Linked DNA regions of Xenopus tropicalis. The protein of the gene in region 1 binds, or shares a complex with, the protein of each later gene. Links are inferred from orthologs where the notes say so. Each region holds a gene or a part of one and is shown on either strand. Other genes may lie near its edges. The genes, in order: nckap1, wasf2 and abi1.

The links.
Region 2: nckap1 (region 1) and wasf2 share a complex: the UniProt entries of both Homo sapiens proteins name them as parts of the WAVE2 complex. The link is inferred for Xenopus tropicalis from reciprocal best matches to the Homo sapiens genes NCKAP1 and WASF2.
Region 3: nckap1 (region 1) and abi1 share a complex: the UniProt entries of both Homo sapiens proteins name them as parts of the WAVE2 complex. The link is inferred for Xenopus tropicalis from reciprocal best matches to the Homo sapiens genes NCKAP1 and ABI1.

The regions. Positions count from the first base shown.
Region 1 is NC_030685.2:62,024,874-62,028,522, forward strand, and holds part of nckap1 (nck-associated protein 1), read left to right. Parts: intron 1-592; coding exon 593-724; intron 725-1,426; coding exon 1,427-1,645; intron 1,646-2,379; coding exon 2,380-2,510; intron 2,511-2,950; coding exon 2,951-3,048; intron 3,049-3,649. UniProt on the Homo sapiens protein: Part of the WAVE complex that regulates lamellipodia formation. The WAVE complex regulates actin filament reorganization via its interaction with the Arp2/3 complex. Actin remodeling activity is regulated by RAC1.
Region 2 is NC_030678.2:78,053,918-78,058,285, reverse strand, and holds the start of wasf2 (wiskott-Aldrich syndrome protein family member 2), read left to right. Parts: upstream 1-1,568; 5' UTR 1,569-1,596; intron 1,597-1,599; exon of another isoform or gene 1,600-1,616; intron 1,617-4,368. UniProt on the Homo sapiens protein: Downstream effector molecule involved in the transmission of signals from tyrosine kinase receptors and small GTPases to the actin cytoskeleton. Promotes formation of actin filaments. Part of the WAVE complex that regulates lamellipodia formation.
Region 3 is NC_030682.2:24,956,326-24,960,746, reverse strand, and holds the start of abi1 (abl interactor 1), read right to left. Parts: upstream 2,936-4,421; 5' UTR 2,845-2,935; coding exon 2,728-2,844; intron 1-2,727. UniProt on the Homo sapiens protein: May act in negative regulation of cell growth and transformation by interacting with nonreceptor tyrosine kinases ABL1 and/or ABL2. May play a role in regulation of EGF-induced Erk pathway activation. Involved in cytoskeletal reorganization and EGFR signaling.

The DNA.
Region 1 (3,649 bases):
TCGTCGTTGGTTTTAAATTGTAGCTGGAAAATTATCTATTGTCGAATTTGCCTAGGTCCTCTTCAGGCTGCACTGCTGTAAATACCTACATGGTGTTGGAGTAGACTACACTTCATCCAGCATACTTTCAACTTGCTTAAAGGTTGCTGAGCATTGAGTCCTCAACCTTTTCTAACTAGAAGTTTAAAAAAATTGTATGAAATTGCTGTTTTGTAGGATTTTAAAGGAGAACCAACATCATTGGTACATTATAGGACCCATGCACCACAACAAGATATACATCCGCATGCCAGAACAAGGTCCTGCTCCCTTGTAGCTGATGAGCTTTGTAAATTCTGCTCTCTGCCATCTAGGTGCTTATTGCAGAACATGAGCTCTGGAAGCCATACTGGTCCTGGCTTTCATTGCCCATGCTACTCTTCTGCAGTGAGCACTTTGGAGCCAGAGACTGGAAATTAAATGGCTAGACATGGTGGCGATTAAACTCTCTGGAATAATGATATAGGTTTAGTGTTAGCCCTTTAACAAGGTCTTGTAGTTGGCCTTAGGACAAGTCACAGACTTATAACTGGTGTTTTCCTCTTTCTGTCAGCCTGGATAAATTGCACACTGCACTTTCAGAGCTCTGTTTCTCTATCAACTATGCACCAAATATGGTTGTATGGGAACACACATTTACCCCAAGAGAGTATTTGACGTCGCACTTGGAAATCCGCTTTACCAAGTAAGTGTCTGAGCTTCTAGATGTACAGAATTTTTTTTCTTGCTTATAGTAGCCAACAGATAACATTTATCTTTATGAATAATCTTAGGACCAGAAGAGAGAGATTTTATAATATTATAATAAAGCAATGCACTCCAAAAAAATTTTTTTTTTTCAGTAGCCCAGGTGCTACCTCAGTATGTAATAGAAAACATGACAGGAGCAGTCAAGGGACTGTCAAAAAAAAATAAATAAACTGTTCATATAGTGTTGGGCAATACAAATTTTGGTTTTAGAGACTGGAGTATTAATTCCAGGGGCATCTTTTTGTCTCATGGCAGGAGCAACCCTAACTGTACTCTGGTATGTAGCCCTTGCCACAGACACAAAGGCTCATAGATATTGGCATGGCCCATACGGGTCCCATTATGGTAGCGTGGCTTTGTGTTTGCAACCCAAATGCACTAACCTTGAATATGCTCATTTGAAGAACAGGGTGATGTGCTGGTTATAGGTTTAAGCACATCAAGCCAGTAAATGGGGAATTTACTTGACAGTCTGTATTGGCGACAATGAATTATAAAATAAATACAGTGCAGGAGTTTCCTACTATGTAGTAGAAGTCCATTTTTGCTCACAGCTTTCTATATAGTAACATTTTGTTCTGTTGTCAGCCTTTGCATTCTTACTCAGTATGTGCTGTTCTGTCTTTCTTTGCCACAGGTCTATTGTTGGCATGACCATGTACAATCAAGTCACTCAAGAGATTGCTAAACCTTCTGAGTTGTTAACAAGTGTAAGAGCCTATATGACTGTACTCCAATCAATAGAAAACTACGTGCAGATTGATATCACAAGGGTATTCAACAATGTTCTACTTCAGCAAACACAACATTTAGACAGCCATGGAGAGCCAACAATCACCAGTTTATACACTAATTGGTAAGCTTTCAGCATAAGAGTTTCTTATCCAGATATTTCCTTAGAGTTGCTTGCCTTCCTTGCTGGTTTCAGACATGGAATTCCTGCTATATGGATAAAGAAAACTGGCACTAAGAAACTGCTAGTTTAAAGGATCATACCAAAGGACATCAGCAATGAGATGTGCCAGTGCTTTTTGTTTATCCATGTAGCTCATTCCTTAATGAAGCAAGTAAATAAGATCTGGTCACGACAGAGTTTTAGTGTGACCCTAGTGATATCTATAATATCTTTTAAATGAAACATTGTTTGCACCAGGACAACAGCAGCAGACTAAACAGTTGTATTATTATTTGATGAACTTGATTGAGGAAATATTTGGGGAAATGAGTCAGAAGAAAGTAAATGTAGGACTGGTCAGTCTGGGGATGACTTTGATGTATTTGGCTAGCTTGTATATATTGCAGTATATGGACAAACAATCCCTGTTGCACTCACAGGAATTTTTCACACACCTGGTGTCCCTGACGAAAAGTTCCAATCACCTCTTGTCTTTGGTGTTTAATGCATGTAATACTAAAGTTTGAAGTGGTAAGCTTGTGTTGCATTGAGTAACATTCACAGATGAATAAGTAGCCGTTTGACATATGTGAAAAAACTGTTACATGTTGTGTATGTCAGTCAGCTAGGCGAAACAGCTTTCCATTTGTATCTGAAAGTGTTTAGATTATTAACTTGCGATTTATTCCTTCAAGGTATTTGGAAACACTACTGAGGCAAGTAAGCAATGGACATATAGCATATTTCCCAGCAATGAAAGCTTTTGTAAACCTGCCAACTGAGAATGAGCTGACGTTTAATGCAGAAGAGTATTCCGACATCTCTGGTGAGCCCAACAGAATTTTTCACTGTGTAGGCATTGATCTTATCATTTGTACTGCAGCCACGCTTTTGGCCATGACTTGGAAACCCTGGCTTTGGTGGACATAGAGGTCAAAATGCCATGTCATTTACAATGCCAAACATTTCACCATATGCCATTAAATTGTCTTGTGGCAAAACATCAAATTAGTGAGCCTTACTTTCCATTGAAGTCTTAAGGTCACATTCTTCCAAGGCATCTGGGTACAGCCTTAATGATAAACCTTATGCATTTATCACTATGAATGAAGGCTAGCCCTGCCTATGTATTTCGGTGTGTATTTAAACAACATTTGAAACATAAATATGCAGAATCAAATATTTATTTCTAAATGATAATCAGGGGTCTTGGATTTTTTTTTTAAAATGCATCCATAACAATACTGATCTATCTTCATTTCACAGAAATGAGGGCATTGTCTGAGCTGCTGGGACCATATGGCATGAAGTTTCTCAGTGAAAGCCTCATGTGGCATATTTCCTCTCAGGTGGCTGAGCTGAAGGTAATATATAATTTTGATTTTATGTTGTATAGTAATTTTAAACGTGGGTACATACGTTTATATACATATGTATACCATATACACAGGCTCCACCCTAGGCCACTATACATAGTATTACTTATGAAGGCCATGTGTTTACCCTGCTGAGCTGGTTTGTGATTGGGAAAGGGTGGATATGAGGAAGTTAGAGATTGAAAGTAAGCTAGAATAGAAAAGAGGGTGGTGAGGAGAATTAGAGAGGGAGAGATACACAGGTATAGGAAGTGAAATATTTAGAAATTAGAGGTGTAACTCCTGTCGCACCTCTAATGTTGCAGATAAGCAATGAACTTTTTTGATTTTCTTTACTTGATGCAAAATATGTATTTTAATATCTTATGTATTTTAATATCTTAACTTACAGTTGGCTTTGTTATTCAGTTTCATATTTTGCCTTATCTTTATACATATTTTTATTTTATTTTCCATCTCCCCTTTTGTAATGCAAACTGCCTGGTTGCTAGGTAATTGAGGCCCTGGTAACCGTATAATGCTAATCATATAACATAATTATAGACCCCTTGTTGCACTGAAAAGGCAGAAAGACTGAAAAGGCAGACAA
Region 2 (4,368 bases), on another chromosome or scaffold:
TGGAAGAATACAGTGAAACCCAGGACTGTGCAGGTCCCCAGCATTCACAGAGTCAGCTATATGCTAGTTACAAAACTGACTAGTAACTACAATATTGTTATTGGACTTTTTGGAACTGTATATTGCATTAATTTCTTCCCACAACAATGCCCCCTTACACATCTTCTTCCCCTGTGCACATCCACACTGCCTCATTCTTCCACCATCATCTATGGGTATATTCACTAAAGGTCAATATGAACTAACCCATGCATTATCACCTGAACTAGGAGGTAATATCTCATCTCTTGGTTCATCAGTGCAGGTCTACATTTGTTATTCTCATGGGTATTACCTCCAGTCAGATAACAATGTGATTTTACACCTAAGGGCTTTGGCACACGGGGAGATTAGTCGCCTGCGACAAATCTCCCTGTTCGCGGGCGACTAATCTCCCCGAAATGCCATCCCACCGGCGAAAACGTAAATCGCCAGTGGGATGGCATACGCGGCGGCGCGATTTCAGTGACATCGTGGAAGTTTCCTCTCAATAATGCTCACCTGATTTAGCCAGCTAAAACCAGCAAAACAATGCCCATGTATGTCATCTATTTTTAACGATAAACTACTTTTTTATGTGTAAAATACAAATTTTTGTTTCAAAAACAGTTTATTCCAAAATGCTGGGGCTGTGGCTAATGCCTATTAATGTTAATACCTCCCAACATTAGAAAAATATAAAGAGGGAAAAAAGAAAATGGCGTGTGTAGCGCCCATTTTTGCAACCACACCCCCTAAATATCACTCCCATTTTGCTAAAAAAAGAGGTGAAATTGCCCTTTACGTTAATAAGTCTCAGTTCCCCCAAGAGACATGTTTAGCTTATTGGTTACAATTGTATCTAAGTGCAAGTGTAGCTTGTTAATTTCTGGGCTCTCTGCCAAAAGTTACTTTTTAAATTAAGTTTGAGAAGCATTGTATCTTTTTAAGCTTCAGTGCAGGAAATCAAAGGGAAAATAGGAACTTTCAAAATCAGGACAGTTGGGTGGTAATAATAATGTGTATCTACTGCAACTCAAAAAGGTGTAAAATCTGGTGACATCTCGTTTTGTTAGGTGCTCACATTATAAGCGATATTAACTTATAAAATAACGCATCTTTACACAACAGTAGAACGTTTAGAAGCACCAGTTTCTCCGAAAAAAAGACCTTGAACCTAAAAGGTACAGCCAACAAGGAAATACTTTAAGCAACTGGAAACAAGTTGGTGACCGTGCCACTACAGCTTACACTTTACAAGTTCATAACACATTCCATAAGTACCTAACTTTTCTGCGTAAAAGTTTAGTTAAAAAAAAAAAATTAGTTTATTACGGCACCGAGCACTCAGCCAATCAGTGAAATAAAGGAAGAAAAATGCAGCCTACCAAAAGCCGAGCGGAAGCACTTTCATCCAATTAAAGATAGGAGGTTAGTGAAAGGAACCAATCTGTGAGGAAGAAACTGCAGCCGAAGCCAATCTTTGCTTTGCGTGGGCGGGACTAGGTGGGGCGGTGCCCGAGTTTGCTTCTGTGATACTAGTTCCCGGTGTCAGAAGCGGAGATCCCCCGGGTACAGGTAAAAAGATTCTTACACTGGTAGAATGTATAGCAGGATGAGCACTGCAAACTTTACTTATACTCTTCTAGATATTGTGCTATATATGGTGTGGCTGAAAAAGGAAACTTGAAATGCTTGATATTTGTGAATTGCATGTAATTACCGAAAATGTAAGTTTATACGATAGTTAACACTGTAATGGTAACAGTGGACAGGAGAAATAACCTCTTTCGCGTTTCTGTAGTAAAGTGTACATGGCATTTCTACTAATGCAGGTTCTTGTAAGTATTGGGAAAGTGCCTAAACAACATAGAAGTAGTGGCCTACATAAAAGTATATAGTGCAGCTGCTGGCTGCTTTGTATGTATGTGATTCTGCTGGACCTACACCTATTTGGGCCCCAGGATATTCTTATTAAGGCCTTTTATTTTCCATCACAAAGCTGGCAGTGACATTAGAAGTTACAGAGGCCCACAGCAAAGTTATTTTAGCCTCCAACCCAAACTTTGGAAATATAGTTTTCATAAACATAGATTAAAACTACTTATCAGTCAGTGTTCCACTGGGCCTTGCATCCTGTCCCTGAAAAACTAGGCCAACTTTTCCATATGCTTTTGTATATACATTCATTTAAATGTTTCAGTGGTTTTTTGAGTTATTTGTAAATGCAATTGCTTTTGAAAGCAGTATCGGTCTGGTTGTTTATATTCTCCGCACTTTTGATTCTGAATAGAAACAAAGTAGCAGCATCAAGTCGGTCAACAGAGATGAGCTGAAGGAGAACTGGCTTCTTCTACTTAGTTTCAAGAGTCAGAACCAGAGAACTGATAGGGATTAACAAACCTGCTTTTAATAGCAAATACAAAAAAACCTAAACCTATGGAATATCTTTAATGTATAGTGAAATGTTGCTTAGAATTACATGTTATTTTATTATGCAATAAATGTTTTTTGGGTAGAAAACCCCTGTAACTTGTTTCTTATAAGGAGACCCAAATTATCCAGAAGTTAACCTTATGACCCAAGAACTGGTTTAGAACAAATTATGCACCTTAAAGGAGACATATCCTATAAAAATTATGAATGTACCAGTGAATTATACTCCTCTAGATATAGAAGGATTGTGCTTAAAAAAGTTGTGTTTCAGACTGATTTATTGAAAAATTCCACAAAAACCCCACTAGCCCCGCCCATCTGTGCCACTTCCTACTGGCTGAATTCTCTGGATGAGCAGGGGAGCCGGCAGCCCTCAGTACACTGCACTGTAGGATAGGAACCAATCAGCAGCTAGGCTGACCTGATAGGGAACTGAAGCCTGTCTTTGCTTGTGGGAGTGCAGGGCTGTGATTGGCTCTCCCCGTCCTACTGTGCTTCTGGCAGGGACCGTTAGGACACGCCCACTCTTCATTGCACACTGGACGGAGAAGTGATAGGATCTATAGGGAGCTCCAATAAAGGGGCCATTGTTACAGATAGGATTAATGTTTAGCCCAAAGGGAAACCAGCACCGTATATTATTCATAATTGCCTACAGGATAAGGGTTTTTCCCATTTATCCAATATGTCTCCTTTAAATACGTTACTGCTGAAGGAAGACTTTTTTTTTTTTTTTATTAAAGATAATATTGGTGGCCAACTCTAAATAGCATGCGCCAATATTAATGTCTATTAATGTCCATTGTTATGGATATAAAGGATTTCTAGCAGTTTCCAGGTACAAATCTCCTATCTATTTATTGAAATAGTTTATTACCACTTATTTACTAAGATAGGTTGATTACTTAATACTGGGACAACCACCATCAGTAGTCTTTATAACAGAAGTGTTTTTTTTTTTTTTTTTCTTTCATAGAGAAATTTATAAACCACGTACTTTGTGAATTCACTTGCTAGTAATTGCGATCACTTGGCATTGATCAAGGCAGTTAACTGACAAATAAGCCCAGATCATATTTGCTTGGTGTCATTGCTACATGGCATAGGGTATAGTTTTCCTGATGCAATTAAAGATATTGTCTATGTTCTCCCTAGATGCATAGGCTTCTGATCAGTAGTTTACTTCTCATCCTTGCCTGTACCCAATAGGGCAGTTGTGTTAACTACTACTCTCTATGTGTGCATGATTTGCACATATTCATAACTTTATTGTAAGAAAGGGCACATTTCAAGCTAAAGCTTTTGTTACAGGATTTGATAGATTTAGAATTTGTTCCATATGGCTGTTGTATGTGGTAGGACCTTGCAGGCCCATGTCTTGTAATATCCATATTAAAGAGGTTATTCACTTTTAAATAAACTTTTCATATGATGTAAAGAGTGATATGTTTTGCATATTGCAGTTGGTCTTCATTTTTTATTTGCAGTTTTTAATTATTTAACTTTTTGTTCAGCAGCCCTCCAGATTGGAATATCTGTTTTATAGGGTCCAATCTAACCTAGCAACCAGGCAGTGGTTTGAAAAAGAGATGGATATGAATGTAGGAGGGCCTAAATAGATAGATAAGAAATACTAAATAGCATTAACAATAAATTTGTAGCCTCACCAGGGTCAGTGATTCCATTTGAAAACTGGAAAGAGTAAGGAAGGCAAATAATTCAAAAACAATCAAAAAAAAAAATTAAGACCTACTGAAAACTTGCTAGGAATAAGCCATTCTATACATACTAAATGTAAACCACCCCTTTAAGATCAATGTGTAGTGAGGCTTTACTGATCATTTAATTATTCTGAATTTGTATTTTGGTGTCAATGTGACTGCTCTTTAATGTTACCCATTAACCAGGAAGGCT
Region 3 (4,421 bases), on another chromosome or scaffold:
CTTATTCCAGTTTTTCATTTGGACCACTGCCTGGTTGCTAGGGTAATTTGGACCCTAGCAACCATATAGCTGCTAAAATTCCAAACTGAAGAGTTGCTGAATAAAAAGCTAAATATTTCAAAAACAAAAATAATAAAAACATGAAAACCAATTGCAAATTGTTTCAGAATAGGACTCTCTACATCACGAAAAGTTAATTTAAAAGGTGAACAACCCCTTTAATGCTCCAGGTTATGGAAAGATCCCTTATCTAGCTTACCTCTTTACAAACATTAAGCTATACTGAATGGCATACAACTGTATCCCTGAGCCAAAAATACATTTTACAAGAAAGCTGCAAAGGCTTTCGCATCAAGCAGAGGCTATGCCACAGCTGTCATTCCACAATGCTGTCTGACGCAAAGCCTCACATTCAGCTCTATGGCACAGCAGCCCATTGGCTCAAAAAGAGAACTGATGGATTTATTCACATGTCAAATAATTGCAACATGCACCACAGTAGCTTTGTTGCTTCTGAACAGTTCTTGTGCCTTTTGTAATATTGCATCCTTGCAGAATGTCAGCACTTTATAAATGTGTGATATTAATACAGCCCATACCTGTAATAATATAATCCTAGCTTATAGCAATATAAATGGCACTTTGTATTCAGGAAGAAACAACCCCCATAACATACATGCTCAATCCCAAAGTTATGGGGGTGATTTCTTACTTTGTTGAAAGTAAAAGATGTGTTTCATTAAACTTCCCCTTTAAATAAACATTTAGCATGGACCTAATCTAAGTAACATGATTATAATTTCAGACTAATTTGATTTATTATTCTCCTCAGCAGCAGATCAAGAAGGCTGGAGTCTGGGACACCAAAACCCATTAACATGTGGATTATGACACAAATCTATTGCTATTACATTTTTATTGCTTATCTGTCTGATAATGCCCCCTATATCCACTTTCCATTCGGAATTCCAAGCTGTCACCTGGTTGCCATGGTAATTAAGCCCAAGCAACTAGCAAGCGGCCTCAATTCCCAGCCTGAGAACTGTGAAATAAAAAAAAATGACAAATCGTCTTGGCACAAAACTATCCATGCCCGCAGAAGCGGCCACATTTTGGCTAATCCTATTCTTACAGCTGCACAACTACCAATAGAATCCAAGTGGAAAACCCTGGGATTCACCATCCCTACCTGATTTTTTTTTTTCTTTTGTAACTGAAATTTTATTGAAGAGAAAAATAAAAACAAACATATCAGACAGATCACTGCAGCGAATAAACCCTACCTGAAGAAACAGTTAGTACCAATAGGATCACTGAATATGGGATAGCAACTCTCCAGAATACAATAGCTCAGTATATGGCTGTCTGGGCACTGTGAGAGCTACAAGGTCTGGCCTCCTGACTGCTTTACCTACACCCAGCCCAACATGATCCCTTAAAAAACTCTGAAAAGTTCTTCTTTTGAACCGATCTGTCACACTCACACCCCTCTGTCCCTCTTACTGTGCATCCAACTGATTATTATTACATTTATACAGTTTTTCATATTGTTGTTGTTTTCTTTTCTATCACTGTCTGGACAACATAAATACACTTTGCACTGCTATACTCGAAGTATACTTCGAAGTACTTGAAGTATGCGATTTCACAAAGCCAACTACAGTGTGTCTTTTGCAATGTAAAAATAACTAAAAATAAAAAGTTACAATAAAAAAATAAAATAAAAACTCTCCATGCCATAGTAAAGGTTAATTTCAAGGCAACAGAAAACAGGCACCTGGACAGCAGGGTTCCAGCATACAGAGCAGCACTTTATTTCCCCTGATATAAGGCAGGGTGAGTATCTGACCATTCTGTACCTGAAATCACCTTCATAAATGCTGACCAACAGAATGAAAGTTCCTGTAATACAATACTACTACAGAGCCCTTCCTGCCACATAGAAGCGACAGACTGACACTAACACCCTTGTGTTCTTACTTGTGTGTATCTATATCATTAATAGTAACATGAAGTGCCGGCATATACTGCTGCGCTGTACAATAGAAGGGTGCACATCAGCCATTTAAACACTGCCCAATACAGGGCACAGGGCCCTGCCTAACCCCATCCCTGCACTGGCACCATTGAATATTATAAGAATAATGATAAATGGAAAGCCAGAAGGCTAGAGGTGTAAGGGCTTTGTTATAAAGGCAGCCCCTGGGTAGAGGAACCCTAGAGTTGAGCTGCTAGACAAAGGCTCCCTGAAGTCCTTCCCAGGGAGAGGCAATGCTTCCCGGCTGTGTCTAGACAGGCAGGAGACACAAAGCCCCATATTAATGGCAGCAGGGCAGCCCCAGAGACATGTGCCTAGGGCTTCGCTCCATAACCCTCCTGCCTTACAGCACCCAGGGGAGATCTCTGGGAGGTGACTCACAATCAAACAAAAAAAAAAAGGGCAACACCCTATGGGCTGAACCGGGATACACCCACAGCCGCTAGCACTGACACAGGCTCCATACCGAAAGTACTCCCTCCAAGGGGGCTCCGATCTGTAGCCCCGCAACTGTAAGCGAACTACAACTCCCATGAGCCCCTGGCAGCCGCTTGTTGTCTATATGCAGCCCTAGCAAGGCCGCCAGTTGGATATGTTTGAGTTTCAGGATGCCCCACTTCCTGCCCCCCCTCCCCTTTCACTGACATAAACACGCCCGAATACAGGGTGCTGACCAGCCCGCCGCTTACCTGGATATAGTTGGACTCGCAGTAGTCGGCCACCCGGGTCAGGTTGTGGAAGCTCTCGATCAGAGCTTTCTTCCCGGCGGGGATCTCCTCCTCTAGTAACATCTGTAGCTCAGCCATCTTCCAGCCCTGCGCATCGCTTCCTCCTTTTACACTGAGGGAAGAACAGCTAAGTCCACACCCGCCAGGCTGCCTGCCTGCTCAAGCCTGGTATTCTGGGATTCCCAGCCTCGCTTTCACCCCAGGCTCCTCCCCTCAAAAGCGCTTCGCCCCTTCAGCTCGCCGCTGTCACCAGGAAACCTGCGCAGAGCACTCTGGGAGTTGCTGTGGGGTGGGCGCCGTGACCAGGAAATCCACTCAAAGCACTTTGGGATATGTAGAAACTCCTCACAGTGGGGCTGCTGTGTAGTAGCAATACAGGGTTCTGTGCTTTATAGTATGACTAAGTAAGCTTGTGGCTATGAGGGCCATACAGTTTGTTATAGGAAGTACTATGCCGTTACATGCACCCACGCAAATGTTATGTGGGTTTTAATGCCAAGCGCATGTTATGAGGATGAGCCAACCCTAGCATATTACAGGCTGGGAGTTGCCACCTTTTCTGACAATAAATACCAGCTCTGCTCTAATCGTATTGATTTTCATGTTTATAACATTGGCATTTGCAGCTGCCAGGTGGTAACCCTGTTCTGACCTGATTTCACGTTACCATTTGGGGTAATGGCACAGGGCTAGTGTGGCTGTACTGGGGGCAAGGTTAGCGGTAAGGTTAGGGTTGCCTCTGGGCCAGTAGCACACCAGCTGGGGCTGGGCCATTATTATTACAGGCAATACACTTGCTGCTAATATTATAAACCTCTCTGGCCCATCTGAATCATCTTGAAAGCACAGTCACAATAAGGTGTCTCTCCCTGATTGGCCTGTAGCCTGACCAGTCATGTCATCACCCCCAACCACAGGACGGGGCCTGGGAAAGGCTACCACAAAGCAGCTCTATCCGGGCTCGGTGCTGCCCTAGGCACCGGCCCCCAGACCACCTTCACAGTCTGCGTACTCAACTATCACAGAAGAGAAAAGAACCCCCCCTCCACCTTGGCTTTAACTCTGGATTAAGCTGCAAATATATATCTATATATACATACCTCCCAACATTTGAAAAATGAAAAGAGGGACAAAAAGAGTTGGTGCGCGCAGCACGGCAAATTTGTTTGGCCACGCCCACTTTGTGGCCACGCCCCAATTTCCACACCCTATTTTTAAAATAGTTAAAATTGTGCCCCCAATGGCCCAATAGACAGTAGCCCCCATACACATTGCCCCCCATACACAGTAGCCCCCAATTTCCCCCATAGAGAGTACCTCCAATAGAAAATTCCCCCCATACACAATGCCCCCCATAGAGAGTACCTCCAATAGAAAATGCCCCCCATACACAGTAGCCCCCAATTGCCCCCATAGAGAGTACCTCCAATAGTAAATGCCCCCCATACACAGTGCCCCACATAGACGCTGCTTCTTGTGGCTCCTGCTCCTTATGCGGCTCCTTCTATGGCAGCGACAGGCCCTTTTATAAGGTTGCGCCCGTGCGTACGTGTGACGTCACACATACGCACGGGCGCAAACTTATAAAAGGGCCTGTCACCGCCATACGAGGAGCAGAATAAGAAGCAGGAGCCACAGGACTAGACGGAGCCCGA